Linked DNA regions of Caenorhabditis elegans. The protein of the gene in region 4 purifies or fractionates together with the protein of the main gene of each other region. This does not show direct contact. Each region holds a gene or a part of one and is shown on either strand. Other genes may lie near its edges.

Region 1 (6,694 bases), on a different chromosome or scaffold from region 4:
AGGGCACTTTTTCTTTGAAAGTCCAAGAAAAGTTGTTACTGTAAAATATTTTCTAAAATTGCCAAGTAACCAGAAATATTAAATTGTTAGACCTTTTTTCGAGTAAACTTCTTATTTCCAGTTCGTGATCGATTTTCCCCTATTCTAAGTCAATAATCCAATGAGCCATTTTGTGTAATCAGATGCTTGTAAACTAGGCTCCATTCGAGAAAATGCGTGGTACAGATCGTTGATCATGCGGTAACGAGCAGGTGTACAAAACTTGTCTCGCCAATTTTTTGACACATTGTGTATTTAGTGAGCCCCGTTTGAGCAAGGTTAAACTTCAAATTAGGGATTTCATAGGAGGTAGGCAGGCGTCAGTGTCTTTTTCTCTGCCTGGTGCTGGGAACTCTGATGTTCAGAGTTTACACCATGTAGGCATAAGCCAGGCGTAGGTCGTCTTGAAGGCAGGTAGGCAAGGGATTTTAGTGCCTATATGAAAAGCTCGATCCAAATTAGGAACAAATAAGAAACTAATTAGGTAGTTTATGCATAATGTTTTGGTTTGGAAGATTTTTTAATGAATACAATAGATCTCTGACTCATGTACACATTAGGCCGCTTTTTTCTTATTATCCAGTCCATCAAAAAAATATAAGAAAATTTATTACACAATGGAAAGAATATTGGAATGCAATGGGCAGTGTTGAAATATTATCTACGTTTCAATCATTTTCCACAAGTTTATACACAAAGTCCAGTGGCAGCTTCACAAGTGGTTCCAGTTGGGCACGCTGAGCAAGTGGTTCCTGACTTGTAGATGTCTTGACCCAAATAGTTTCCTCTGAAAATTCATCGTTTTTATGTGCATGTTTGCTTCAAATGCTTACTGAGCCTTGTATTGGCAAACCACAACAGCTCTGTTATAGTTATTTAGTTCTGGATCAGGTCCGCAGTTCTTCACTCCACATCCAATCAGACCAGTATTAGCCCAAGCCATTTGGGTAGCATGTCCAATTCCAGTGTTAGCAAGGGCTTGAGTGAAAGTGTTGGTTGTCCATCCGTACTGCTGGAATTCTTGTTCCCAGGCAACAGATGCAGCTCCTCCATAGATATCCATTCCGGAGAATGGGAGGCTGGACCATCTCCAGTACAAGTTCTCTCCAACTCCAGCTGCATTGGAGTGACCTCTCGGGCAAGTGTTAGCAAAAGTTTGAGCAGCGGTGGCCAATGTGGTGTCCCACTTCTGAAATGGTATTGGAGGTATAAGGAGTGAGTAGTAGGCGATAGTAGGCGAGGTCTAAGAAGTCTACGCCAGCTCTACATCAGACCCTTTAATTAACTCCAGATCAAGTGCTCCCAGATCTGTAGAGAAGCCGACTGAAACTTTAGAAAATGCTCTGAAGAGCACTTGAACCTAGCAAAGACCTTCAACTGAAGGTTCCATTCATTGGAAAATCACAAAGTAACTAACTGCCGAAAACCTACCATTTTCAAAAGATTACTACCAGCTGCTTTTGTTGTCCCTTTAGCCACATATGTTCCCTTGGCAATTGAAGTACGAAGCTTATTATGAAGGTCCACAATGAATTGTTGAGTGCTTTCTCTGAATTGAGCATAAGCTCCTGAAAAATTGAAGAAAATTAGTTTCAAAAATTTCCAAAAAAAAAACTTACCAATCTGAAGGGTAACCAAAACGAGAAGAGTAAAGGTGTGCATGTTGTCTGTTGAAAATACAACTAGTAGGTTGGATATTTATAGGAGATTTTAGTTTGTATGAACAACTGGATGTCGTCGTCGCCGTGAGGGAAACTAAAAGTCATGGGAAGAGGGAAAAAACTAAAGAACGTGTGCTTTAATAGAAATAGACTAAATTGGTAAGAGTTTTATGTTGACATTGTTTGTTTTATATACAAAAGGGAGGCTGAAGTTGGATTTCATTTTTTGAAATTTCACACAGTAGATAGTAACAATACAGACATACGGTAATTTTTTGAAATTCATGGAAGTCAGAAACGGAAAAATAAAAACGTTTTCAAGCTGTTAACTTTCAACTAAATCACCAACATCTTTGAAAATACATACAAGATATCGTAGTCAAAAAACCTATAGCTTGAACTTTTTTCATAACTTAGATACATCTCTAGACACAAGTAGTCTTTGACCTCCCAATAAAGTTCTAACTGCTCATTATACTCCAAATCTGCCAATAGGATTTCGAACACGTAATCGTCGCATTTGTTACATAGGCATTTTGATCAAAGGTTGTTTGTGTTCTGGTTTTCAACTAGCACACAATTTTATTTATTATCTACAGAAAGTTTGAAAACACATTGCATTATTAAAGTTTAGACGCAGAGCCCTGTGGAAGTCTCACATGACGTTCCTGATGGACAGCCGGAACAGGTTGCTCCCGATACGTAGATGTATTGATTAATGAAGTTTCCTCTGAAAATTGATGTATTAGCAAACAGTAGCTTGTATTCAACAGGGCTCTCTCGCACATACACTTTTCAATTTTTTTTTATGTTAAAAATTTTGTCTCGGTTGAAATTAATTTTCCTAAAACTACTTTTTACTCTTCAGAAAAATCCTAACTCACAAAGTGTTCAAGACTACTTTACCAGTTGTCGAAGCACAGTTCACTTTTCGCCAACAACAATATTTTTCGTATTTTTGTATAATTTTTATTGGGTTTTTTGTTTTTAATGATCTCCTCAAAATGATCAAAATTTGTTGAAAATTGCCTAATTTTTTGGATTTTGTTTCAGGGAACGTGACCAAAAATTTATCTTTTTTGCAAACCTATCCTAGAGAACAACACAAAACACAACATTCGCAGACACAGTCAACATAGACTAGTCAACAAATCTCACTTACTGCGGCTTGTACTGGCACACGACGGTTACTTTGTTCAGGCCGTTTGAGTCTCTTCCACAATCCTTGACTCCACATCCGATCAGGTTGGATTTCGCCCACGCCATTTGAGTCGCGTGTCCGATTCCTGTGTTGAAGAGATCGATAGTCATAAGGTTAGACTTCCATCCGTAATCTTGGAATTCTTTTTCCCATGATGCCGACGCAGCAGATCCCTGAATGAAAAGATTGATTATAGAAATTTCAGAAACTTTTAAAATAAAGAAGGTATCAAGCGCCTGCCTCCTGCCTACTGCCAATATTCGCATGTTGTATTTAGGCAAAATTTGAACAAAATAGGCAGTAGGTCTAGGCAGGCAGGCACAAGGTAGACTAAATGACTGACATATTGATTGAGGTCTCCCAGAGATCCACTTGTCCAATACCAATACAAATTCTCCCCAAGGCCTGCATCTCCAGAGTGTCCCGTCGGACACCCGTTTGCGTAGTTTTGGGCGGATGCGGCGACTGCGGAATCCCATTTCTGAAAAGTTGAAATCAAAAATAAATCTGAGAACCTTAGTTATGTACATACCATTTTCAACAGATTTGTTCCCGGCGATTTCTGAGTTCCTTTTGCCACGTAGGTACCTTTTGCAATTTTAGACCGCAGAGTGTTATGTGCATTGATAATTCCGTTTTGTCCGGAAGAGCCGAAATCAGCGGAGCAGCCAACAGCAAGCGCCACAACCAGCAACAAGTAATTCATAATTGGAGAAAAAAGTGCAAGTCAACACGAATATGTTTATCACTGCGGTTCATTTTATAGGAGTCTTATCACGCGAAAACCTGTAAAATTGTATGATAATTGAGAAATCGTAAGCTACGTATGATCGGAAGTGGGCAGCACAAGACCAAAGAATTGACTTTTATCAGTAATTATGAACATTTGAGTCAAGTCAACAAGTATTCTGATTAGGAAGAAGTGAATTTTCTTCCTAATTTTGTTGTTGGCACATAGGCAAGTAGAATGTTTTACTTTTGCCTGCACTTGATGTTGTGTGCATTTTCGTAAATTTTAAAAAAGTTTGGTGTAATTTAAAGTTTTCGCTTTATTTTTTTTATATAATCACCAAGAAAAAACAAATGCTTCATTAGTAAATTAATTCCCAGATTAAAACAAAACAAATAAATTAAAAAATTACAGACACAAAAAGTGAAATCTCTCATTATCCGCAAAGCCCAGAAGCAGTGTCACATTTAGTAGATCCGGAACAGCTGGAACACGTAGTTCCTTCCTTATAAATCGGCCGTCCCATAGTGTTTCCTCTGAATATTTTTGAACAATTTTGAGTTAAAAAAAATCAAAAACTTCAGTGCTTACGGTGGACTATACTGGCAGACTACAGCTATTTTGTTCATATTTCTCATCGATGCGTCTCGTCCACAATTCTTGACTCCACACCCGATGGAGCTGGTGTTTGCCCAAGCCATTTGAGTAGCGTGTCCTATTCCACTGTTGAATAGGGTGGTATCCATTGCGTTAGACTTCCAGCCAAAGTCTTGGAATTCCTTTTCCCATGCGGCAGCGGCGATTTCTCCCTGGAAAGAATTATTGATTTCTGTCCCAGAAAAGTTATGCGACTCACATAGGAATCCAAGGATCCAACATCCGCAGAAGTCCAAGACCAATACAAATTTTCCCCATATCCAGTTCCCTTTGAGTGTCCAGTTGGGCACGTATTCGCATAATTCTGAGCCGACGCAGCTACGGTGGAATCCACGACCTGAAAAGTTTATTGAAGTATCATCATTGGGCTTTTTGTTCAAATATGATTGCCAAAAGTTACCCCAACTTGAATGACTTGAAACTCTTGAAAAAAGAAAACTTTAAGTTTTTTATTTGACATAATTGGGCAATTTAAAACCTACCATTTTCCTCATATCAGTTGCTGGTTCTTTTTTGGTTCCCTTCGCAACATAGGTACTCTTTGCAATAGCGGATCTCAATTTGTTATGAGCATCCACAATGCTTGATTGACCAGTTGAAGTGAATTGAGCATTGACACCAATTGCTAGGAGGCAGAGAATGAAGTACATGGCAAACAAAATTATGATTTAAAGTTGCAAACGTGCTGCTTTTTATGAGAGGAGTTTTTTAATCAAGTACGAGATTTTCAAATAACTTTTAATATTTGCAAAACGTAAACAACAACAATCTTTATTTTTGTCCATTGTAGAGAAAACTCATAAATGATCCAAACGATTTGGTCAATAACAACAACAAATTGAGCTTTTTACGGATATCAAAAAGATCAGCCGGACTGAAAATATTATGCTATCGGGCTTCAAACCCACACACTTTTCGACTCGGCAAATTTGGTAAATTTGCCGCCCACCCCTGGTTTGTACTCGAATAATTACTAGAGAATCAAGCAAAAAACTGGAACAAAACTTTATTAACAAAACTTTATACTTTGACAAAAAATATAGTAAGTACTGATTTCCTCATTAATATTAATAATTATAATAAACTAAATCGTAATTTATCTGTAATTTTAAATTTAACTTATTCAATATTCGCCGACTGGATTCTTACTTCAATCCAGGATTTACACTTGAGGACTTCAAATTGATGAAGTGTGAAGAACTGACAATATGGAACCATAGCTTTACTCCAGAATACTTGAATCATTTTATCCGTAATTGATTAAACGGAAACATGAAAGAATTGAGAAGATTCCACTTGGACCATGATTTCAAAATAAGAGATTGGGTAGTGGTGTTGAATGAAATAGTAGTTAGTCGATGGGACGAAGTACGCCGAGAAAAAGTATACAGGTATTAGTGGTAAAAAGGAAAAATGATTGTTCTTTGGCAAAAAAATTATTTATTTATTTATTTATTTCAAACAATGTGTAGGTCTGGCAACAAGTGAATAAATTTCTAATTTACTTAAAAATCTGTAGGGATGCTAAACTGACATAGGAAATACGGTATCAATTTCCAATTTCAGAATCGGTTTTCAAGAATTTGATTGTTCCGATGGTTGGGATATCGAAAGGGAAGATGGAACTATTGCTACTGTAGTTTTTGTGAAATCATCATTTGATTTTTTTGTTTGGTCTAAATGATTGGAGTCAGAAACAATTATACCGCACGTTTGAAAACGCTTGCATTGTTATTATCTTTCAAATAAAATATTTATTCATTTTAGTCATTCATTTTGTACTGAATTTTGTCAAAAAAAACCTGAAAATTCAAAAAATTCAAAATTTTTCTTACACTTTTCTTGCAAAAAATATTGGAAATTATACACAAACTATTAATTTCAGTCTAAATCTTTCCAAGAGAAAGCCCCTCTCCGCCCTTGCTTTTGCCGTTCGAGTGCGACGGCGACGACGACGACGATGTTTTCAAATGTTTGACTGGCATTGAACCCGACTTTTTTCTTTCCAAATTAGGAATATCATCTCCACGAGTGATTTCATCAGCTGAATTTGCATGAAGAAGTTTCTTATGACGAAAACGCCCAATATTCAGTTTTCCATCTGTCTCGACTCTCAATGTGGCGCCGTGATTCTGAAAATGCCATTTTACAGTTTCAGATGTGGTTTAACATCAGCAGACATACATCGGTTTCATTCATGTAACGCGGAGCCGAGAATATCGTGAGAAGTTTCTGATCAGCAAAGAACTTGAATCCTTCAGGAATCATCTAAAAATTGAATCGAGAGCAATTAATTATTTGTCTTTTGGAAAATACCTGATGAGCTCGAACGATCAGATTGATATTCAGACGTTTACAAGTATCACGAACGGCTGCCTCATTGAAAATAAATGAAAGTCCACGGAC
Region 2 (7,601 bases), on a different chromosome or scaffold from region 4:
AGGAAGTCATTTCTTGATTCTTCATGGTCTCGAATGCGTATTCATTTAACAACATCAATGAACAAAAATATCTGGTTTAATGCCAATGCTATAAAATTATATTGCAAGTCTAGTTTTCAATATTTAATAGACCGATGATGTTCATTTTCTATTAAATTATGTATACAATTAGAAAAAATTCCAGGACGGGAAGAAGAGTTGGTCTAAATCCATCGGTTCGCTGATCAACCGTAATGCATCGCATGTCACCCGACTTTAAAATACTCCTCAAATAACGACTACAATCACCTCTACATTTATCATTGGCTATAATGTACTACATGAATGCTTTACTCCCATTTCGGCATACATATTCCTAAGTTTCAAATTTTTTATGTAATATGAAGAAAAGTGATTTATTGATGCGTGTGATCAAAATTGAAATATTGAAATGAAGTTATGAATATGATAGTTGAGATCGCAGTTGAAGGTGTTGAGTTCAGTTTTCATAATACCAGTAAACTAGTTCCTCATCTTCTTCGTCGTAATCTTTTTTGGCCTCATATCGACGAATGATAACAACGGATGACTGGGATTCTCGCATTTTCTTACGATTTTTAGAGAAACTTGTCTGAAATTAATGAAAAATTTAGATTGAAAGTTCAACTAAACCAAAATTGAGAAAAAGAGGAATAATAGATCAAAAAAACATATGAGAAAACTAATACAGAAAATAATAAAAGCCAGTGACTGAAATAAAGAAAAAATCACGAAGGTGCTTGTGAACACTGGTAATATAATGGTATAATGAAATGCATGAAAAATAAAAAATGACAATGATTGTACTTAAATGCATAATTTCGAGAAAAAATGAGTTATATATATATATATATTGGGCAATTGATTTAACTTTCTCACAAGCAGAAAACTGTTGCAACAAATTATATACTTTCTATATAACTTTAATATTCTCAAATTTATTAATTCATGAACGGCCAAAACCAAAAGTCAACAAAAATCAAAAGTAGTTTAAGAAAATTTTAATATTCAGTTGCTGCTTCCCTTCGTGGTAAATGTGATCTTAGAAAACTTTTCGGGCGCTTATTTAACTGCGTAAAATTATAAAAATTAAAAAATGTTGTGATTTAAGCTATATGTAATTGCTGGCAATAAATAAAAAACAATTACCAACATTTCTTAATTGTTTAGTTTATTTTTTTATCAAAAAAAGAAAAGTTCAACAGCATTTTCACATTATAATTCGAAACTCGTATCTAGAAAAAGCAACCTATGAAAAATTTAAAAATTTTTAACCTTGTAAAGAATGTATTCAGAGAATTTTTCAGATCTAACTTGTGTTTGAATAGTTTGAATATTTTAAAACAAAAAACCAAAAAAAAACGCAAACTCAAAAAATTCGAAATACCTCAGATGATACAAATATTATCTCTTTCTTCCTCGCCCTTATAAACAAATCTGAAAGGGCAAATTAATGGTTGTGAAAACTATGAATGGGAAGAAGACAAGCAGTTGAGTGCACTGTGAAGTCACGTCAGCAGACCAAATAGTAACGGTACAAAGGAAAACACGTGAAGAACGAACGAAAACGATATGGGTGAGGACGAATAGACGAAGAGAGGAAATGATAGCGGACAAAACTGGATTTTGGTCATTCTTCGCTCACCCACAAATTTCTCCTCCCTTCCCGGAGAAAAGGGAAAATGCCGCCAATGGCTTAGCTGTTATTACTTTGGACAAGGTGGACGAGAAATCCGATTGAAAATTAGAGCGGATGGAGCCCACGAGGGAGCTTTTATTGACGTAGAGTTTTGACCAGTGAGAGGAAACTAGTTTTATTGGAAATTTCGTGGAAATAGGATAGCCTCAAAGCAGGCAGTCTCAAGGTGAATGGTTTAATTCTTGTTTTATTATATTCTAAGAAGTGGTTCACAATTCATTGAATGTTCTGAGAGACTAATAAGATTTGTTTTAGTATAGCTAATAAAATACACTGCTTGATTTTTTTGATGGAAGAAAAAAATAATGAAAAATTATGTTTTCTTCATGCATAAAACAAGGAACAGATGACGGCTCAAATAAGGCTCGAGTTTAATTGTAAATTGAAAATTAAAAAAAGCAAGCTGTACTTTTTTGCTGATTTACACAGCTTCCGACATAAAATGGAATTCTAAAATTATTATGAATCGCTAAAAAATGTTAAAATATTTTTGACTTGATGGGAACTTGTTTGTAATCTTTCAACATGGTTTTTACTGGTACAAATTTTGACGTGAGAAACATTTTTGTACTTTTAAGCTCATAAAAAATATTTACTACTGAATTTACTATTAAAAATCCAAATTTGGAGGCAACTTTCAGTCAAATTTTGTTTGCTTACAACTTTCTGGCAATATTTTGCGGTTGAAAAGCTGACATAAACACTTCCTGGCAACTACGACGATGTTGCCGGAAAGCCAAAGTATTTCTCAAAGGTAAGCGCCAAATATGTACATATTGTTAACCATTTCAGGAAACCGCATTCAATGATTTTTTTTAACGTTGTTCATGTTCAGAAAATCGACCAGATTATTTGTGAGTGGAAATATTACACTTCTACGGTGAAGGCGCTTAATTTTAAAAAAATTAAGAATAATAGTAAAACCTTATTTTTGGAATCAGGATACACATTACAACATCTTTTATATTTATTAAGAAGAAAAACTGGATAAAATGTTAAGTTTTGTAACCGTATTACCTTAAATAGGTTCACTGAGCCTCTATTGGGAAGTAAAGCAATCCACGACTGGATTATCGGCCACAGTCCCCGGCTAAACCACAAATATAGCCCAGTGGGATCACCACCAGGCAAATGATGAACGTGATTTGAAATTTGAAGTTTTGTAACAATTAATCTATTGTATTGTGTTATTAAAAAAAATGACAATGGTTTTCACATCCTCGCGGAGCAAAATGAAATTTGTTTTAGATTCTTGCAGAATTTAAATCCGGAAAAGCACATTTACTTTTGTCTATTAATAAAAATTTCTATGTAGAAAAAATTGTATTTTAAGAGATAGTTATGTCTGTAACAAAAAGGTTATCTTGCATTTATAGTTTTTACGTTGGAAAATACGTTAGTTCGTTACTTAATGTTCAATTCATAAATACTCGTTTAAAAAAACAAACAGAAACGTGATAAAATATATGAACACCGCTACGATTCCAAGTTTCAAATGGCTCAACCAGCCCTCGTTCTCTTGAATGTTTGCCCACTTTTTTCTTCTCGACCACAATTTCCGTCAAGGAAAAGTACACATGCCTACGTGTCATTCTGTGAAAACATCTGTTCGCCATTTTAGTAAACATAGCAAAAAAATTGGTTAGAAAGGTGCTAAAAGGTTAGGAATCGGAGTGTGAATTGGGAAATTGGAAAATGAGGAATCATTGGAGAGAGAGAGAGACAAGAAGAATTAGGCAGCATCTGTTCCTGTGACGTTTTGCCAGGTGAGGGAGGGTAAGAGACAATATGTACCATTATATACAATCTATTTGATATTGGATGGTCTCTTTTCCTAAATTTTCATATTATTCTCTTTAACAGTCATGCAACTTTTTGTTCATCTTTTATGAATGAAAGTTATTCCGATAATGTTTGATGTTGACTGTCAATTTAAGATTTTGCAGTAACTGATAAAATGAGATGATAAAGCACTTGATAAAAAGAGCACGTTTTCAGTTTTCTCACTCACTTCCCTTCTGAAACTTTCAAAATTTCAGCGGAAAAATGGGCTTGTCTCCTGCCGCTGTGCTGATTTTTCTCTTATTAGGAGTTTCCCAAACATATGCAGCATTCTCCTGCAAGGATCAGTCGGGAAACGATGTTGACTGGTAATATATTTTCAAAACAAAAATAATTTACTAATAAGTAGATATTTAGGTTCGCAGTGTACAAAATGCCAATCGAAAAAGATGATGGATCAGTGACAGGATTGGCAGGTGGAGTTGCATGGTACTACGTGGATGTGAATAAAAAGGGAACTTTGACTCCTTCTGCTAAAACTCTCGACGACAACGACCAAGTAAGAAAAATTTTCATTACAAAATTCAGGAAGTAGAATTTCATAAATTTTAGAAAATACTGAATAGTATATTTTTGTACAGCTGCGGAAGTGTTGCAGTAGAGTGTTACAACCTTTTCGCTGAAGTTATTTTGTCTCCAAACTTTTTCTTTCAAATTGCATTTCAATATCTTTTTACATGCAAAGTACTGTATCTAGACCTTATGATTTCGATTAATATTTGCAATGTTTGTAATAGAACTGTTTAACAGTTTTTTCACACATACAAGGTCGAGTATATATGAAATTTTTCCAGGCAATTGCATACACACTCCAACAATACTATGACAAGCAGAATGACAAGACCATCTTCCACGTGATGTACAATGATGAGGTAAGCGAAAATAGAGACTCAGACAGCTGCAGAAACATCAGAATCGTTTGATTTGGCATTGATAAATGCTCACTTGACCATGACCTGGAGCGAACAACTGATAACAGAGAGCAGAGATGGAAACCATTAGACATTTGCAAGTGTTTCTTCTTTCAGCCATGGGGATCAAAGTCGACAAGTGGAATTAAATTGGAAGAGATTCTGAGCAACAGAGTTTATAGCAACTATACTCATGAAGATGACAGTACTTCAACCGCATTCGGACATACTAAGGGAACCATTTTCTTTGATGGAACTTCTGGAGTCTGGTTGGTGCACAGTGTGCCATTGTTCCCAAATCCCACGAAATACGAGTATCCAGTCAGTGGACACGACTATGGACAGACAATGCTTTGCATGACATTTAAGTACGCTCAATTGAAGTCTATTGGAACTCAACTTTTCTTCAATCGACCAAATATATATTCTTCGAATCTTCCAACGAACATGGCTGCTGACAATGCAGATTTGGCTAAAGCAATCGCTGGACAATACCAAAAAGGACAGCCATTCCAAAGCGTTATTGAGTTGGAGACTATGGCTGGATATTCGTTTACTAATTTTGCCAAGTCGAAGGAATTCAATGCAGGTGAGTAGCAAAATTATATCGTATTGCAAGGTTTTTCTAATAACTTTTTTTGTTACAAAACTCTGCAAACTCGAAATAATTTCAATGCTTTAGCTATTTTTGATCATTGTGCATTAATTGTTTGCTAATGGGGTTATTCAAGTAATTTAGCGAAATGTATTTTAATACACTTTGTGACGTTACAATTGTATTAAAATGCATGATTTGGTGACTTGAATAATACAAAAAGTGTGTTTGAAAATACTTTTTGAATATCCGACACTACTCGAATAACCTCATAACTCTCAAACATTTTAAAAATACCGTGTTTTTGTTACAATCAACAATACATTTAGCATTACTAATTTTGAAATAATAGTGTGAATGTAGCCATACTATACAAAAAATACGGCATCATATTTACATGAATATAATTGTGAGATTTTCAAACCTACACAAATACAGATGAAATTTGTGTTAGAATTATTGCGCAATGGGGTTTAGGAAGTTCAAGTTCCACATTTTAATCAATGGTTTTCGTTTTTTACAATTTATTTTACAGATCTATACGATACTCTTGTGGCTCCAACACTGAAAACAGATTTGGTCGTTGAAACATGGAGACGTGGAAGTGAGATCCCACTTGACTGCAAACTAACCTACCACGCCAATGATGCTCTGTCAATTCACGTGAGTTTCAACACTTTCCCTTTTGAAACCTTCCGTCTTGTGGCAATTGTGTCACTCGATGAAATCAGTTTGTCAACAGAAGATTTGTAGGTTGGTAGTACAACCGCGTTCTCATACACCAAAGACCACTCGAAAATGGCTCACTCAGCTGATATGACAAAGCCGTGGGTGTGCATCGGAGATATCAACCGAATGGTGAGTAAAACAAATGGTTAAAAAACTCGAAGTGAAATTTTACAGACATCTCAATATGTACGCGGAGGAGGTACTACTTGTATCAGCAGCTCGTTCCTTTGGAAAGCCTACAGTGTAATTGCAACCCAAAATAATTGTGCATAAAATTACATCTATGTACTTTTGATTATCTACAAATAAATATGATTGATGTACTTCTTAAAAAATTAGTGTGACAGAATTCCAAAAAAAAAAAGAAGTCATAAATCTCAAATATTGCCAGAACCTCTTATATTGTAACGGAAACTTTTCTCTCATTTTTTTGTGTGTCTGGAAAACGAAATTTCTGAAAATTATAACTATCTTTTAATAACCACATTTAAAAAAAAACAGTATTACTGAAAACAAAATCGAATTAAGTGTTTCATCAAGTTTCATGTAATTATTACTTGAATTTATTTTGAGGTTTTCAAGTTGGTGAACAGTTATTGCATGTGCACTGCTCTGCAAGATATTGATTTAGCGTTGGTGAATATTTCACTTTTCTGTAGGTAAAAAATGTGTAAGACGAGGTGAAAAGGGCCAAAAAAAAACCACACGTTTTGGAGATATATACTTTATCAAACTCCAATTCAGCATTTGGTAGTTGGGTGAAAAAAAAACCCCCAAAGGTGCAAAAAATTATTGATTGTTTATTAGACGGTCACTCTGTTCATTGAACCTATGCAATTTCTTACAAACACGTATTATTCTTTTCATATAGAAACGTCGAACATTCCCTAATGGAAAATTAATGTTCTACATTTTGCAAGTAAATTTTGCAAAACTGAATTGAGATTAAAATATCTAAAATTTACAAAAGCGAATAACACGAAACGTATATCGGTCAGTTTATAAATTGTATAATCGAATTAAAAAATGCCGCCCGATGTTTTGCAAACTTCGCGCTTTTTGTTAGCTGCCACCGTACCATGCCAAAAGAACCTTTTCGAATGCTAATAACTTTCCTGCCCTCTGTCACACTATTTTCACAGTTTTCAATCACGTCTCTTCATTTTTTTCTTGTCCCCCACACCGCTCCACCCTCTCTTTTTCATTTTCTCTTCAGATATTCGTGTCAGTGTTGTTTCTCGCAGCTAAAAGTTAAATATGTAGAAAGAGAGCGCCGATGTGTCGGTGCCATGATGAGTGTTTGAGCACGTTCTGATTAACCTGACTCAAAGGTTAATCGAAGTAAAAGACACTTATGTAATCCCAAGGCAAACAAAACCAATCAACACGGCTACCCCTTTTACTCTTCTTTGCTTTTTTCTACTTTCTTCTCTCAAGCCTTTCCTCATTTTTTTCTCTACTACCCATTTGGTTACTTTTTTTTGTCTCTGTAGACCCACGGCTCCCCCTCCTATCCTCCCACCAATGCTAACCGACTCATTCGCTTGCCTTCTTCATGTTTTACAATTTCCGCGGGGCCAAGCCAAGGGGCCAGGGTGATGCCGCCCTACTCTCGGCCTCCTCCACCTCTCAATATCTGTTTCCAAAGCCTTATCACTTTCTATTGATATACATTTCACTTTTATTATTTTAGAGAGGAAAGGCCACTACCATCAACGTCCCACCAGATTCGACATACACTCATCCGTTATTCCCAATCGAAACTTTGTGAAACGAACTCCCACATATCTACCAAAACAGAAAACCC
Region 3 (6,207 bases), on a different chromosome or scaffold from region 4:
AACTATTTAAAAACCTCACCTTGCATTGTGTATGCGTATTCATATTTTTTCTCGAATCCAACATTTGTGTTATAATTGGCTTTATGAGTGATACCAACAATAAATATTATCAGTAAACATGATAAAATCGCAAAAATTAAAGAAGGAAATATTTTAACTTGATTTTTCAAACTGCATAACATCTTGATGGACTTGGTAATGGTTAGTGTTTTCGATCGAATAAGAAGAAGAACTTGTCATTTACAATCTCAATGCCTAAACCAGTTTATGTATTTGGCTAAGTAACTTCTAGGGATTTGATGGAAACTTAGATGTAGTATGAAGCTAATTAACTTATAACTGTAAAGTAGAAACTATTACAAAAATTACAAACAAAATTTACTTCCAATTTTGAATTATGATATAAGTCATACGTATTGAAAGTACCATTGCATGTTCTTACAGCAATAACATTACACAAGTTCCATAACGACAAAATTTTCATCAAAAACTACATTTAAAAGTGGAGCAATAACCGGGAAGTTTTTGAAATACTCGGTGATAAAATCTAGGAAATGAATTACAGTTGGCCAAACAGCTGAAAGTGATTTATTTATTTTGATGCTTATCATTTTAATTTTGCTTTGAAATACGCAAAATGTGCCTAAATGCCGAGATATCACAAAAGAAAAACCCAATTCTGACATTTAATACATATTTTCGCTTATTGATTCGTCGTTAGACTTTTATTGGCAGTCTCATATTTTCCATACGCAAGTGATGCATTATCTAGAACTCGAAAAAAAAGAAATCATTTTTTGATACCGACAAAATTTTTCTGTCATAGCAACAGAACTTTACAAGCTCCTGCGTGCAATCATCGAATAATTAGATGTTTCGTTTTGTGTGAAATTACTCAAACTTTACTCTACTTTTCAACAAACAAAAAGATCTTGATTTGAATTCAAATTAGTTTTAACCGAACGTAGTTCTGATTTAAACCATCATACAGGAATAACAATTAGGTAATATATTACCACAGGGAGTATATATTTCCCCGAATCGAGAAAAATCTACCAGATTGTAAACATCCTCGTTACTTCTTGGATATTTTTCACAAAAATATTCTTATTACGAATTTCAGAATTTCTACCACATGGATGTATCCAATGAGAATGCCAACTCTAGTATTATGACAATGGAAGCAAATGTGAGTAATTTTTCTTTTTCCACCAATGGTGAGTCTCCTAGTTAGGTATTTATGAGGAAAAATCAATTGGAAGATTGCTTTTTAAAATAAACTTTTAAAAATATACTAAAATGCCAATCTTTCATTGCCTGTCATATATGAAAAATATCTGTGATTATCATTTAAGTAATTGCCAGTTACTTTAATTTCAGACCTTTTACGACACTGTCATATTTCCAATTTATTTTTGGGTTTATTTTGGTTTTACCATGTTCAGTCAAACTTCCGTCGTGCTTTTAGTTGTTTTTAAAACGCCCGTAGTATTCAAAGATTTTCGTGTCTTTCTTGTCAATTCTTCAACTTTACAGTTTTTCATGTGCATAATAGTTGTCTTCACACAAGTCAGGTTAGTTGTACGATAATATTAATTTTTAGCTAACACTGTTCCTTCAGACCTGTGAACAATCCAGAATCGTCAGCATATCTTTTTAGCGGGTTTTGTAGACACACTCATAAAAATGCTTGCTTTTTCAGTTTTGATTTTTTCCAGGTAAGTGTCCTGTAATTGTTATTTTTTACAAATATTCAAAATTCAGTTAGTCTTTGATGCCTCGTCCTTTGCAATTCCTGCTACATTGTTTTACAAATATACAAAAGTAACAAATATTAATATGAAAAACATAACTAAAAATCAAATCAGAATGATTCTTTTAAGCTCTTACCTTCTATCTTTAATTGTGGGGGTGAGTTTTGCTTTTCGTGATTGATCTAGAATGGAAATATGAATGTTTCTAGGTGATCTATGTGATAACGTACGAACCAGACGAATCTCTTGAGGTTGCTTCAGAGACCAGGAAGTTTCATTCAACACAATATGATTTCCGGTACTATGCGGATATCACTGGATATCAAAAACATTTTTGGAGCTGGTTAGCAACAAATTTGAATATGATAAGCATTTTCGTCCCACCAATCATGAGTATTGTGTTTATTAGGTAATAAATTTGAGTTTCGAAGAAATACTTACCAATGTGTTTCCAGACTAATACAAATTAAACTCAACAGTTTAAAACATTTATTTACTGATAAAACTGCTGCTCAAGCCAAGAAGTTTGATCTTGCTTTGACGATTCAGACACTTGTCCCTGCAGTTTGTGTGATTCCTATATACATAGCTCACTTAATACTTGAGAATTATGGTAGGCTCCTGTCCGTTTTTACAGTAAAATAATATGTGACAATTTTCAGACTTGCCGTTTCTCTCAAATTTTGAAAAAGTTCTATATATGATGCTTTCTCTTCCAACAGCTATTGATGCGTTCATTGTTATTGTCACCATCACACCGTACCAAAAAGCCTTTATTGCGTTTTTCAAGGATACGTTTTGTGGCAAAAAAGTTTCACCTGCAATTGTTAGACGTAACAATATTTCGGCTGTTTCCATTTTTTGAGCATTTTGAATAATTGGTAATGATAGTGGTGGACTAATCGGAGTAGTAATCGGAACTTTGCTCAATTGAATAAAATAACATTGTTCAAAGATATTACACAAGCACTTTTATAACAGTAATAAAAAATACCGACAAATGAAAAACATTGTTCGAAGATCTGCAAATAAAAATAACGATGAAAAAATATTTACAGTTCAACATTACACTTTAAAATAAAGTGCCAAAGCTCTCAAACAATTATTGTTAAACAAGTTTTTGGATCTAGAGAGACTATTCACCGTATTTCCTCACCAAATTAATTCATTTTGACGTCTAGTGTCGCACTACGTTTTAACGATACTAGAAATGTGTTATTAAAGCCCTAAGAAAAAGCTTATTGTTTATATTTTGCTAGTTGGCGAATGTCTGACAAAATTAAAAAAACAACCGAAAAATAAGCAGCTAAAGATGGAGAGATGGGTGCAAGACTATTGGACACGGAAATTATTTTTTTTTTAAGCAAATAAAATTTTAAAATTCCTGAAATCATAGTTGTGTTTTCATATTGAAAACTTGATCAATTGATCTTCCCTCAACTGTGCTTGCACAAAAATAGACACAATTCAAAGAGACGCAGAGGAATTAACAGTCACAAAAATTGTTACACTGTCTATGGTCTCTTCGGGAAGTAACTTTGAAAATACTCTCTACGTAAACAGATATTTCATATTTTAGTCACGGAAACTACAAACTTCCATTCAACCATGAAATAATTTTAACTGCAATGAGTATAAAAAGAAAACATTAAACTGCATTTAAACATCACATTCATCTGATTGACATTTTATTTTTGTAATCTCAAAATAATGGCTCGCTTTTCTGGAAAGTCTGTCATTATAACTGGTTCTTCTAATGGAATCGGAAGATCGGCTGCTGTGATTTTTGCAAAGGAAGGAGCTCAAGTTACAATTACTGGAAGAAATGAAGATCGCCTAGAAGAAACCAAACAGCAAATATTGAAAGCAGGAGTTCCAGCTGAGAAGATTAATGCCGTGGTTGCTGATGTTACCGAAGCATCAGGACAAGATGATATCATCAACACGACTCTTGCTAAATTCGGAAAAATTGATATCTTGGTATGTACATAGATAGAAAATGAAATATACTCAATTGTTTTAGGTTAATAATGCTGGTGCCAATTTAGCTGACGGAACAGCTAATACGGATCAACCAGTGGAGTTGTATCAGAAAACATTCAAGTTAAACTTCCAAGCTGTGATCGAAATGACTCAGAAAACAAAGGAACATTTGATAAAGACAAAAGGAGAGATTGTAAATGTTTCCAGTATCGTTGCTGGCCCACAAGCAGTAAGCTTCGGGAGAGAGGATTTCAGAACTTTTGTTTTAATTTTCAGCACTCTGGATATCCATATTATGCTTGCGCAAAAGCTGCGCTTGACCAATACACCAGATGCACTGCAATCGATCTTATTCAACATGGTGTCCGCGTAAATTCTGTCAGCCCTGGAGCAGTTGCCACTGGTTTCATGGGAGCGATGGGTTTACCAGAAACTGCATCTGACAAGCTTTACAGTTTTATTGGCTCACGGAAAGAATGCATTCCTGTTGGGCATTGTGGAAAGCCAGAAGAAATTGCCAATATCATTGTATTCCTGGCTGATAGAAACCTCTCATCTTACATTATTGGACAATCGATTGTTGCTGATGGAGGATCAACTCTTGTTATGGGAATGCAAACACATGATCTTATGTCCGTTCTTAGTCAGTAAACTATAACTTTTTTTTTCAGATTTTGTTAACCATTGTTATCTAATGTAATAGTCGTAAAATACACAATAAAATACATTGAATACTTTTATATAAATTGTGGTTTTAGGAATATATTACTTTTCTTTCGTTCACAAAGAAAAACAAGAGTTTCTGCTGCAGTTAGAAGTGTTGCTCCAACATATAATCCAATGGTTCCTCCAATTTCGGCTGAAAACTTTCAAAGTTACAAGCACATCGAGTAAAACTCACCAAGAAGTAAAAATAAGTTGTAGGATCTTTCTTGAAGAATAGTCTCTTGTTTAAAGTGTGCAAAATAGAACTTGATGTGAAGAAGATTTACTCTGAAAAAAGTTTGTTCCGTTGAAAGTACCAAGTTTAATGTTTATTTGCACGCATACACTCAATTAGAACAAGACGTCACGGCGGCGTCGTTTGCCATCACTGAGCTCACCCTACTCACAACTCAGATTACGCTTAAAAGACTTACACATCATATTGAGGAGTTGGAGAATATGACTGGGCCATCAAAACTTGGTTTCGAAGTCTTGAAAGCCATTCGCCACGGATGAATCGAGTTTTCTTTAAAATATAGAAATTAAAATCAGATCTTGATTTTTAAACTTTGAAATATTTTCTTATTTTATGTATTATTCGATTTTCCCCGTTGATCTTCTATGTATTACATTTTGTTACTATTTATCAAATTTCGAATAAACAAACAAACAAATAAATGTAATTTTTAGGTATTTTGAATATTTCAAAGTCAGTAATTATTCTTGCCTTTAAATTTGGCGCTTTTTCGTGAAGTTCATCCAAACATTTCGAGAAATTTGAAAATTTATCACTGAAACTTTCATCTGCAGCAATTCCTGTCAATACTGCAAACTTTCTTCTACTTTCTGTTGCTGCCAAAAAGGTTTCTGATAATTCATTCGCCAATGCTGGAATATCCGTAACCATAGTTTTTCTTAATTTTAGCATTTCTTCAATTTCCACATGGTCTTTTGCTATTTCTCGATACGATGATTCAAATTCTTTTAAATCAATTTTAAAATCTTTCCATTCACTCATTCGAACTCTTGTTTTTAATATTTGCAGTTTAGCCAACACTTTCTTCATGGCTTCTGTGTAAAGTTTAAATGATTCCGAATTTGGATTTGTTTTTGTATGGACGTTAGATGCTTCAATAAGTGGAGTGTAGCGATTCTTGAAAATCTAAAAATAATTATTATTCTTCAAATCCATGCATTAGTTTGACATACAATTCTGCAATCTTCTGCAATCTCTTCAACTCTCTCCAGATTTTCATACATTTTGGTAACACAGTCTCTTACTTCAGTAATCAGTGGATGGGCTGAAAGTATATGAGGAATAGAACTCTTTGCTTTTGCATGCTTACCCAATCCTAGCACAACTCTTCGAGTGCTTTCATGCATCATTGTCAATCCATAATTAAAGTTTGCCTTTCCGAGTGAATTTTCAATTTGTCCGAGTTGTAACAAAGAAATTGAAGCCAGCGTCATGTTTACAACCGGTGTTACTGTATCATCAATTTCTCCTTTTTCAGTCAAAAATAGTCCTAGACAAAGAGCAGTGCTGTTGAGTTCTCTGGCCAAAGAATGTTGAAGATACCTGAAAATAAGAATTTTTTTTTTCAGATATTCAGAGTAGACTTGCGTGGTTATTCTTTCCCATGTTGGTTCATAAGAGTAAAATTGATTGATAAAACTTTCATAGGTACGACCATCCAAAGAGAGACACTTGACATCATGGAAATTATCGGAAACTCCAAAAATCTGAAAAAAAAGAGGTCGTATT
Region 4 (10,696 bases):
ACATATTTTCCGTTTTTTTTTTGAAAAATTTATATTGAAAACCATTAAAAATTAGTTTGAAATGTAATAAGTGTCAGGAAGAGAAATTAGAAATGTATTATCAAAATATATAAACTGTCATGTGAAACGTGGCTTATTTTTTATTTTGTTTTTTATTTAAGCTCCTCCCATTCCTGACCTTTCGTTGAAATTTTCATTTATTAGTTTATTTTAAAAATGGGAGGAGCTTAAAAAAAAAACAAAGTAAAAAATAAGCCACGTTTCACATGACAGTTTATATATTTTGATAATACGTCAATATTCTGACACTGCAAATTTTTATGCGAATTGAAAAATCTCAAGGTTTAATGTTGAGATTGATAAGATCTTCAAATTTTCTCTTAAAATTAATTTTTCCTAATTTTCATAATTCCTAATTTTCACAGAGCACGAAAGCGAATTTTGTGTAGACCATTTGTGTGTCAATGGATAATTTTGGATTTTTCGACTTTCCGGAAAATCAAAATATCGAAAAAAAATGTTTTGAAATTAATCAAAAATTTCAAAACTTTATGTTGTAACCTAATTTTCGAAATATAGGAAATTCGAAAAACTAATTTTTTTTATTATTATTTTGAAAGAGATTTTCCAAAAAATGAAAAAAGGAACATCATCGATAGGCACAATTACGGTAAAATTTTTTAATAAAAAATGAACAAATTAACCGTATTTTTAATTGACTTGAATGAATAAATAAATAAAAATTATTATTTCTCCTCACAATTCACTCATCCTTCCCTTCTTACTATCCATTCCCAATAGTTTCAACTTTCCACCAAACCTCTCTCAAAAATTTCAAATCTATTTCAATATTTTGTATTTTTCCAGGATCTATGTCGGATAAACAATCAATTGCTCATTGCATTGGGTGTTGGCCATCCAAAAGTTGATCTCATTTGTACGACATTGGCTAGATATGGAATACATCCAAAAATGACGGGTGCTGGTGGTGGTGGATCAGTTTTTGCGTTCTTGAAGCCAAGTGAGTATATTGACAAAGAAAACATCGAAAAAAAAAACAAAAATGTTTGAATTTTCAAAAATCAAAAAATTTTCGATTTTCCGGAAAATCGAAAAATGGAAAGATAAAGTTCAGAAAATCAATCATTTAATTAATGTGTTTACTAAATTTGGTTTATGTTGATTAAAAAACATTAAAAAACAAATAAATTTCATTACAAAAAAAAAATTACCAAAATTTTACATGATCACTCGAAATGCCGGAAAAAACAAAAAAAAATAGCGATTGCCGAATTATCGAAAAACTTTACATTTACCAGAATGAAAAATCAAAGTTTTTAGATTTTCATGAGTTGGGAGAGAAATAATTATATTTGTTCACCAAAACCATTTACTACAGTAGAAATTCGCCTTTTGCTTATTTTTTGAGTTTTTTCGAAGAAAAAAGTTTTGTTCAAAAAATCAAACCTAAAATTAAAAAAAATTATTTTTAGACACGCCACAAACTCTTCTCGACATGATTGACGGCGAGCTTCGCAGTCATGGATTTGAAGTTTGGCAGCCACCACTTGGCGGACCCGGAGTTGTTGAACATCAGACACGTCCTGAGCTCTTCCAGACGCCCGTTTCGTCAACACAGTGCTCAACGCCGGCTTCAAAACATAAATGATGACGTCATTATTTGTTAAATCTGCCCCCATCAGCTCCCCCCAGTGTGTGATATTTTCCGTTTTTGGAAGAAGAATAAGAAGTTTCAGTGTTTTGTTCTCTATTGGGTAGCCGAGATATGAACAAGTCGTCGTTTATAAAAGTCAACTCAGAATACAAGTTTTTTTGGATTTTTTTTGTTTTTTTTTAAATCTTTTAAATTTTGTTTTGTAGCCTATTCTCTCCGTCTCTACCATTACCTTTATTCTTCATACCTTGATTTGTGTGTTGTAGGAATTATTATATATTCTATTGGTTTATATTTTTCTAAATATTTTATGTTATTCCTCTCAAGTCAACAAAAAAAACAAAGATTACCCACCAATTGCGCCCATTCCCATCAAAAATTTCTACTTTTCTATTATTCAATACAATTTTTATATGAAATCCCTGAAACCCCCCGCTCATTTTTCATCTTGAAACCTTCCCGTTCGAAAGCTATAATTCAATTTTATTTAGTGTTAGAATATTTTTTATAAACTGATAAATTCTCATGTTTTTGTTAATGTCCCTTTCATAAATTCAGTGTGTTACGATTAGGGCCCCTCATAGATGTTTTTTCACCTTCCCTTCATTTTCAACAACTCTTTCATTTCCAATTTATGGAAACCGACCCAAAATTATTATTTTACATAAATCATCTGCAAAAAAACTTAAAATATAAAAATAAGAAATTACAACTTTTCTGCAGAAAAGTTGTAATTTTTTTTTTCTTGTTATTTAAAGTTAATGCATTTTCTAAATAATTAAAGTTTTATAATATATTTATAAGTAAATTAGAAGAGAAGGAGATATATTGGAATATATGATATGATGATGGGGTTCAGATATCAAATAGACTATAAATATTAGAGAAAATAGAGAAAACAACGTTGAGAGCACCGATTAAAGTTTCGTTTCTGAATGAAATTAGGAAGAGAAGGTGAGGAACGAAAAATTGGGTATAGTTGAGAAGTATTGCACGTATTTTCGGGGTTACTGTATCCCGGAGATCGGGATACCGTACCCCATTGGGTTTAGCCGTGGTTTTCATCTATCACAGAAGAATTGGATTTTGGGAGCTAAAAAAGAAGGGAGAAGACATGGAGAAAGTGAGAGAATGAGGGTGGTGCAGAAAAAACATAGAAAAAGACGAACTGGAACCGTAATTAGATGGAAGATATTTGGAAGATACTATCAATTAATTGTCCATACAAGCATACATTTTGTATAAAACGACAAAAAAAGAAAACAATTGGTAGACGACCCGAAGTGTAGTAGAATTAAGAGACAACATCATTCTACATAGCCATCTGAATACTGCTTGAATTCCCAACACCAGGAGCGATCCCACCAGAACTTCTGCTCGTCGAGCCCGTCCGTACGAAATGATTCTCGAGACGATGGCGTTCTTGACTGTGTCGATCACGGATTTGCTCCTTCTTTAGTCGACGCATTTCTCCCATTTGTTCGCGTTCTTCAATAATCTTCTGTTCAAGCATTGCACGTCGTGTGCCAATTCGTTCTTCGAGTGCCGTACGTTCCTGAAAATATAAATTTAGTTGAAGTAGTGGAGCTAGTTCAGTTTTCCAATTTTCTTCAAAACTCAAAAAAAAAAGTTTTCAGCACAAATGTTAGAATGTTGTATACATTTCCGCTCACCTTTTTAATCTGCTCTTCTAATGTGGCTCTCGTCTTCTTCTGATAAGCAATCAATTCTTCCAATTCTTTCTCCAACTTCTCACTAAGAACCCGTTGTTCATCTTCTTGCCACGACTCGAGCTTCACTGTCTTATCCTGAACCATTTTTTTGATTTGACTTTCGTATTGTGAAGCAAGAAGTGCGACTTTTTGCATTTGATCCTGTTTTAGTCGAGACGTGAGCTCTTTTTGTTCATCTTTTGGAACTACTTGCACCATTTGTGTAAGGTAGAGCTTAAATTGGCGAGTCTGAGTCTTCACAACTTGTCGGTATTGTTTTCGAATTTGTGCTTCTTGGATCTGAAAATATTCAGGAATAAACTAAATCAAATCTTCTCCACAATTCAAAAATACCTTTAAATCTCTTGGCTGTTGTCTTGACTGCATCGCATGCTTTTTTCTCAATTCATCCTGTTGCCTCTGTGTGTACTCATTTTGACTTGCCGATTCCGCCTCGTGTTGTGTCTCCAAATGTCGTTTTTTCATCGCGTGAAGCTCGTTGAGATGCTGTATTTCCAAATCGCGCGTCATTTCATGCTGCTTTGACAGTAATCCGTGACGCGTGTCCATTTGGCGTTCTTGCACGTTTACGTCCTGAATATATAAACTGAATAGTAACTGTTGACGATTTTTGGGAAGAAATTCATATTTATCTATATACTTGAAGAAAGGCTCAAGTTTTTTTTAAAGTTATATGAATTTCACAATTTGAAAAAACGATTTTCTGGTCAAGGAGTTAATCGAAAAAATTATAGATTTTTTTCAGGGGAAAATAAAAATGTTAGAATTTTAGATTTTTCCGAATTTTTTAAACATCCAATCGTGTTTATGTTGATAAAAAACTTAACAAAAAACAAAACAATATGTAAACTTCTTTCAAAAAAATATTAAAATGGTCAATTTTTTAAAGATACTTTATGAAAACTCGAAAACCGGGAATTGTTGATTTTCGATTAAAAAAAGGAAAATGTTTCGTTTTTCAATTTTCAAAAAATCGACTTTTCTTGTATTAGTGAAACTTTTAAATTTATTTTCTGGTTAAAATCAAATTCTCCAAACTAACTTCATCATCCAATTGTTCTTCCAATTGATGAAGATTACTGAGTTGTTGCCTGCGATACCTTACAATTTCATCTTCAAGTTCTGCACGAAGCTTCTCGTCAAAATCATTTTCCCGTGCATCTTTCACTCGATTCAGATCGGCTTTCACTTCTTTCATTGCGTTCTCATAAGTACTTCGAGGCATGTTCAGACTTCGTAATCGCTGAAAATTCTTGGTTTAGGACATTTTTTAAAAAATTATTCAAGACTAAATAATAAACTTTGAAAAAAGTGGAGAAGCAGCTGAAAAAGTGACCAGAACTTTCATATTTAAAAATTTATAAAGTCTAAATTTCGTATAATTTCTTTACAGAAATCAAATAAAAGTGAATTCTCACTGTTTTCTGTGCCTCCTTGTTATACTTGTATTCTTTCAATTGTTGCGCTGAATACAGTTTCATCTGCTGCTGATTTTGACTATTTTTCGTCTTTTTCATCTTTTTCTCCCCATCTTCGATATCTTTTTTCCGTTTGTCTAGTTCATTATTCTGTGAACACCTCACTCTCATCTTTTCTTTCGAGTATGTCGTTGTCAATTGTTCGAGTTCTCGATCCATTTTCACACGCAGTTGCTCTCTATCTAATGCACATCGTTCTTCAAATTGTTGGAGCTCTTTGTGATGTGCTTGTCGTAGATGCTTGTACTTGCTCATTTGCTCATACATATTGTTCTCTTTCGTATATTCTTCTTGTTCCTGATTGATTATTCTCTGGGAACGAAGCGTCGCGAATTTGTGATTTTGCAACGTGGCTATTCGTTCCTTGACTGCTCGATGCGGCATATGCAAGTCTTTCACTGGAGCACGTATCGACGTGTCCAAAGGATCATCGTGTGCAGTTTCGAGTATAGAAGATGATTCTGATTTCGATGTTGGTTGTGATGTTGGGATAGGTTCTGAAGGAGACGGTGTTGGATTGACTGCGATCGCCGTAATCGATGCTCCAACTGATCCATGACTCGGCATAGTTCCAACACCAGACGTTGATGTAGAAGAGAGCATTTGCGAAGGAATTGGAGGACGGCGGCGTGCGGAGCTCGTCGTCGAACTACTTCCATTACCGTATCCAGAGGATCCTGAAAATTTTGAAAGATTCTCAATGTTGCGCGATGAATTTCGAGAGAAAAACTAAAATAAATGGAATTTTTGAACTTTGCAGGAAATAATAAAGCCATTCCTAAAACAAAAAAAACAGTACAGTACCATGCACATTATCCATAGCACCCGTCGTATTGGTGGACACTAAAAGACCAGCTCCTCCACTACTCTGCATTGATCGGAAAGAAGTAAGAGAAGCACTTCGAGATGACGCAGAATCTCCTGCTGAAAACGAGAATAGATGGAAAACGAACAACTAAGGGATAGAGTCTGCAAAAAAAAGCTGAGGGTTTAAAGCAATATTATAAAAATTATTCCAAGATATTAATATTTTCACTTTGAATTTTAAAAACTACCTCTTCCAATTGAATTAGCTTCATTTCCATGAAAATCTAAATCATCAGATGCTCCATTTCCTTCACTTCCTTCTTTTCCTTCTGTTTCATCCAAATACATGAGTTTTCTCATCTTTTTGTATTGAAAATTATCCAACTCTAATACCATATTTTTCGTTCTCTGAATGAGTTCCTGAATTGTGTCTGATGGGCGAGACCGTTGAATGAATGGATGTCGAAAGCATTCTTCAGCTGACATTCGCTCTTCTGCTGGTTTTCGAAGACATTTGTCTATAAATTGAACGAATTCCAGCGACCATTCCGGTTGTTCGCTAGTGTCAATTGGAGAAAGAGTTGGAGGATCATTTTGAGCAATATGGTAGAGGGCAGACATTGCATTCATACTGAACAATGGTGGACGACGTTCGGCTATAAATAATAAAATTAATTATCAAGTATAATTTAAAATATTTCTCACCCAGCTCTATACACGTGATACCCAATGACCAAATATCTGCACGATCCGTGTAGTGACCCTCATCCATTGCCAGAATTACCTCTGGGGCCATGAAAAACGGCGTTCCGATGAAAGTTTGAGCCGGATCTACCAGGGATGCGGATCCGAAATCAGCTATAATTATTCAATGAAGTTTTGAAAAACCAAATAAATTAATATAATTACCTAGTTTAACAATAGCATGATCAGATAGCAGAATATTTCCAGCTTTAATATCTCGATGTATTCGCTTCAGAGAGTGAAGATATCGAAGAGCATCCAAAGTTTGAGAGCAAATCGCAGCGATTTCGACTTCTCGCATTCCTTTTCGCAAGACATCCACTATATCGGCTGCAGAGCCAATACAGTACTCCATCACAAGCTGAAATCGAGAATATTAGCTTAAACGTTTTGATATATTTAGCATTATAGAAAAACTATTTTTGTTTTTAAATAATCTCACCCAACATGTAGTGTCCTTAAGAAAACAAGCCTTGTAGTCGACAATATGTGGATGAACAACTGTATTCAGAAAAGACACTTCTTTAAGAATATCATTCCATTTTTCGACAGCCTGTTTTCCACTAAAATTCATCTTTTTAATCGCAACAGTCTGCTCATTTTTTTTGTCATATGCCTGAAAAAAAAAATTTTAATACAATATATTTTATTTCATTTAATGAAAGTTTGAAGCCGCCTGAACCAAAAAATGAGAAAATAATTTCAAATTTATTTTATTCAAAAATAAAGAAAAGAAATAAGTAATCGGAAAATTTTCGATATTCGGTAAAATACGGTACCCGGTCTGTACTGTAATTTCAAATGTTCGTTGCTGTAAAATCTCAATCGATTTTTACAGGGTTTCTAACAATTTAATTTTTAAATTTTTTTCGATTAATATACATTTTTCTATCGAAAATTATGAAGTGTCGATAAAAAATTCAAAACAACAGAATTTTGAAATTACAGAACTTTTTAAAGACGCACACTCAAAAATGGCAAAATTTCGCACCAGTAATTTTTTGAAAATTAACTGAATTTAATTTTTTTAAACAGAAAACTTACAAAATAGACAGCTCCAAAAGATCCATGTCCAATTTCTCTTAAATCTTGATATCTCTGCTCTGGATCCTTATTACTGAACAATGCAGCAATCGATGGATCCTTGATAACACCGGGTTTTTGTAAGACGGCAGGCGCCATCGTAACTCCACCACCTCCTCCGTTCTCCGTATATTCGAGAAGCGCGGCGCCAACGAAAATGAATTTTTGATTATTAATAAATGTGTATTGTTATTAATTTTTGAAATTTTCTGATGTTTTTCTTGTCTTGTTTGATTTTGTTGTTGATGGATGAGTAAAAATCGAGGATGGCGTCGCCGTCGTCGATCGGAGAGAGCACATTAGCCAGAGGATTCCTTGCAGATAATATCGAGAAAATTGTGGATGCAACTGGTTGATGTGAGAAACTCTGAAAATTATGATAATCATGAAAAGGAAGCGAAATGGGGAGTTTAGAATTAAAAAAAGTAAAATAGGAGTAAAATAGGATACAAGTGTTGCCGATTTGAAAAAATAGGAAAGTTAGAAGTAATTTTTTTATATTCATATACGCTGTTAGTAACCGATAAAAGTGTTGTAAATTTTTCGAATTTTTTTAAATTGAAGGCTCATGACTTACTTTTGACATAATCATATTTAAACATAAAATGTCTAACACTTTTACAAAACCAAAAACTCAAAAATCGCGTGACAAAACAGTCAACATTAAAATAGAAAAAATCGCAATATTTTCTGTTCCTGTCTGCATCAGAAAGTTGCCGCCTGTGGCGGAGAGAGGATTATCGGCAACACTTTTCTCCTCTCTTTCACTACTTTTTTTCTATTTATTCCATTATTTATTATGGGAGTAGAACTAGAGAATAAGTAATCTGAAAATTGCAAAAACAATAACACATCGTAGACTGAACTTTTTGTAGAATCATTTTGTAGAGTCCTTTTGCGGATTACTTTATTAGAACTGAAGTTCAGGACTACTACAGTCCGTTCAAGCTAAATATTGTATCAATTACCAATATTTGGATGATCTACTTGAATATTTATAGAATTCAATTGATCTCATGGAAAGTAGGGGAGAAAAGTGTCGTCAAAGAAGGGGAGGACGCGTCTTCAATGCAAACACGAGCAAAAGGGCGCCGAGCCAAGACATTGTGTAGAGAACTAGAGATACACAGAAATAGCAAAGAGACGCAGGCTACGGATGATAAAAAAACATAGTGCAATCCGCACAAAATACCGCCGGCTATCCGCCACTTTATTTGGCGCTTAATTCAAAGAGATTGGAGGATTTTGGGAAAAGAGAATGAAATTGGAAAAGAGCTTATTTTGGATGGATCTCTCAAGCTGATCGGTGAAGTTTTAAACTTATAGTATCTAGTCAATTCATGAGCATGGAATTAAAGTGTTGCTACTAGTTGAATAGTTATGAAGGTATAAACACAAAAGAAACTAAAAACATTTTTTGTGGTATATTTCGCAAAATAGTTTAAAATTAAAAAGAAAGAGAAAATGATTCACAAATATTAGCCCTGTCTTCATTTAGCAATATTGCTAGCAATCCTTCTGAAGTGTTTAATGAATTTTCAAAAAAATCATAACAAGTTTTCCCTAAAAGAGAAAAGGTGACGCAGGGTGAATGATATCAGCACGGAAATATTTATTTGTTGACTTCTAAAACCTTCCAAAACGAGAACTTTATCACCATCTATGATTCATTTGTTTGCACTAAAAACCTGGTCCAAGTATTTTTTGATAGGAATTTAAGCGCTATGAAATTTGATAAAACTTGGAAAAAATTCCAGCGTTGTTGAATTTGATTATCAATTTAAGATGGCATTGTTCTCCAACTTCCATTCAACTTATTGCCTCAATAAAACAATAAAATGAAGAATTTGTTGAGATGATAAGAAACTTAAAGTTTCAGACGAAGAAAGACCAGAAAAGTTATCGATTTACGGTTGATTTTTTCTTTATATTTTTAATTTCAACTGATTGCACCGTCATGGCCAGAAACTCCTCTCTTATCAGACCGCCCGGGGCATCTAGCTGCCATTTTGAAACAAACTCTTTTAAGATGGAAGGGACAAAGGAAAAAGGAACAGTTAAACTAAAAAACACCTGTTTTGGTGGAATAAAGTTAGAAAAATGTTGCGCAGAGAACTGAAAACGCCAGTTGACATAAATGGTAGCTAATGTTTAGCTAGTTTTGTTTAAATAACTCAAGAAATGCAGAAGTAAAGGAAAAATAAGGAAAATAATTGTATTGAAATGATAGTGTTGGAGGGATCGAACGGAAAAAGCCGTAGAAACGGCGAGACATTATGCCGAAACAAGAGAAGCCAGAGAAGTGCCGTCAAATTAGGTGTCTTGTGTGCAAACACTAACACGGCAAATTGCAGAATTTTCGTGATTAGGAAAAATTCCTCAAAATTTGCTGAAACTAGTGATATTTCCTTTATTTCTGAGTTTTTATTTGATTTCGAGGCTAAAACAATTTTATTATGTTTATTAGCCAACTCATATTGCAAAAAATGTCAATTGAGATTGCTATAATTCTGTTGGAAAATCAATTTTTATTGTTAAAATTCTAGAATCAATATTTCAATTCCTCACTCTAATTCTGATATCAAAATTTTCGCATTTGATTCTTCTACACGTTTCTCTAATTTATTTTCATTACTCTCTTCAAATCCTTTTCATATTTCAGAACTTGAAACCTAGTTATGTCCCACGGACACAGTCACGACGGAGCTCCGTGTGGAGGACATCACGGTGATGATGGTGCCGGTGGCTCTCGACCATCTGTCAACGATGTGCAAGCGGTGAGTTTGAATTTTTGTGAAATTATTGCAAAGTATAAGTAGTTTAAGCTTGTCGATCAACTTCGTCTTGCTGGTGTCGATGTATCCAACATGCCCAACATTCCAACTGCTCCACGTGACATGGATGAGGCGCGATCGAAGAGCTTCCAGTTCTGGAGCACTCAACCAGTTCCACAAATGGGTACGTTTAAAAAGTCATTTTTAAAGTTTAATCAGAAGTATTTCTTATTGAATAACAGAAGATAACGTAGAAATTTTCAGACGAAACCGTACCAGCCGATGTGAACTGTGCTATTGAAGAGAACATCGCTCTTGACAAAGTCCGTGCGGAGCCATTCTCCCTTCCAGCCGGATTCCGCTGGTCCAACGTTGACTTAAGTGACGAGGAGCAGCTCAACG

Evidence for each region.
Region 1: the proteins of kin-18 (region 4) and scl-2 fractionate together in Caenorhabditis elegans (co-fractionation; one large-scale study listed by BioGRID). This does not show direct contact.
Region 2: the proteins of kin-18 (region 4) and nuc-1 fractionate together in Caenorhabditis elegans (co-fractionation; one large-scale study listed by BioGRID). This does not show direct contact.
Region 3: the proteins of kin-18 (region 4) and F25D1.5 fractionate together in Caenorhabditis elegans (co-fractionation; one large-scale study listed by BioGRID). This does not show direct contact.

Annotation. Positions count from the first base shown.
Region 1 is NC_003282.8:13,054,635-13,061,328, reverse strand, and holds scl-2 (SCP domain-containing protein), read right to left. Parts: upstream 3,620-6,694; 5' UTR 3,608-3,619; coding exon 3,434-3,607; intron 3,383-3,433; coding exon 3,245-3,382; intron 3,075-3,244; coding exon 2,863-3,074; intron 2,431-2,862; coding exon 2,331-2,430; 3' UTR 2,267-2,330; downstream 1-2,266. Other genes in the region: scl-3 (SCP domain-containing protein), read right to left, coding at 727-826, 873-1,228, 1,471-1,607, 1,659-1,701; scl-1 (SCP domain-containing protein), read right to left, coding at 4,068-4,167, 4,223-4,440, 4,488-4,625, 4,771-4,938; F49E11.7 (Serine/threonine-protein phosphatase), read right to left, coding at 6,175-6,420, 6,473-6,556, 6,605-6,694.
Region 2 is NC_003284.9:9,536,183-9,543,783, forward strand, and holds nuc-1 (Deoxyribonuclease-2), read left to right. Parts: upstream 1-3,722; 5' UTR 3,723-3,763; coding exon 3,764-3,867; intron 3,868-3,916; coding exon 3,917-4,058; intron 4,059-4,353; coding exon 4,354-4,431; intron 4,432-4,587; coding exon 4,588-5,059; intron 5,060-5,600; coding exon 5,601-5,728; intron 5,729-5,818; coding exon 5,819-5,923; intron 5,924-5,968; coding exon 5,969-6,067; 3' UTR 6,068-6,147; downstream 6,148-7,601. Other genes in the region: rtkn-1 (PH domain-containing protein), read left to right, coding at 185-259; C07B5.8 (uncharacterized protein), read right to left, coding at 479-583. UniProt on the Caenorhabditis elegans protein: Hydrolyzes DNA under acidic conditions with a preference for double-stranded DNA. Implicated in apoptosis.
Region 3 is NC_003283.11:10,544,010-10,550,216, reverse strand, and holds F25D1.5 (DeHydrogenases, Short chain), read left to right. Parts: upstream 1-3,433; 5' UTR 3,434-3,464; coding exon 3,465-3,734; intron 3,735-3,777; coding exon 3,778-3,966; intron 3,967-4,013; coding exon 4,014-4,388; 3' UTR 4,389-4,474; downstream 4,475-6,207. Other genes in the region: F32G8.2 (uncharacterized protein), read right to left, coding at 20-182; srd-34 (Serpentine receptor class delta-34), read left to right, coding at 1,136-1,189, 1,537-1,574, 1,622-1,718, 1,765-1,911, 1,964-2,163, 2,210-2,367, 2,417-2,619; degt-1 (Acid-sensing ion channel 1), read right to left, coding at 4,475-4,596, 4,639-4,730, 4,877-4,968, 5,170-5,604, 5,652-5,743, 5,789-6,021, 6,067-6,185.
Region 4 is NC_003281.10:6,115,818-6,126,513, reverse strand, and holds kin-18 (Serine/threonine-protein kinase SULU), read right to left. Parts: upstream 7,888-10,696; 5' UTR 7,620-7,887; coding exon 7,482-7,619; intron 7,054-7,481; coding exon 6,880-7,053; intron 6,799-6,879; coding exon 6,603-6,798; intron 6,552-6,602; coding exon 6,399-6,551; intron 6,350-6,398; coding exon 5,942-6,349; intron 5,811-5,941; coding exon 5,691-5,810; intron 5,564-5,690; coding exon 4,827-5,563; intron 4,652-4,826; coding exon 4,451-4,651; intron 3,982-4,450; coding exon 3,742-3,981; intron 3,688-3,741; coding exon 3,349-3,687; intron 3,231-3,348; coding exon 2,988-3,230; 3' UTR 2,449-2,987; downstream 1-2,448. Other genes in the region: mvk-1 (GHMP kinase C-terminal domain-containing protein), read left to right, coding at 868-1,021, 1,494-1,669; nmt-1 (Glycylpeptide N-tetradecanoyltransferase), read left to right, coding at 10,199-10,297, 10,340-10,478, 10,559-10,696. UniProt on the Caenorhabditis elegans protein: Acts as a negative regulator of cortical contractions during early embryonic cell division, possibly by regulating rho-1-dependent actomyosin contractility.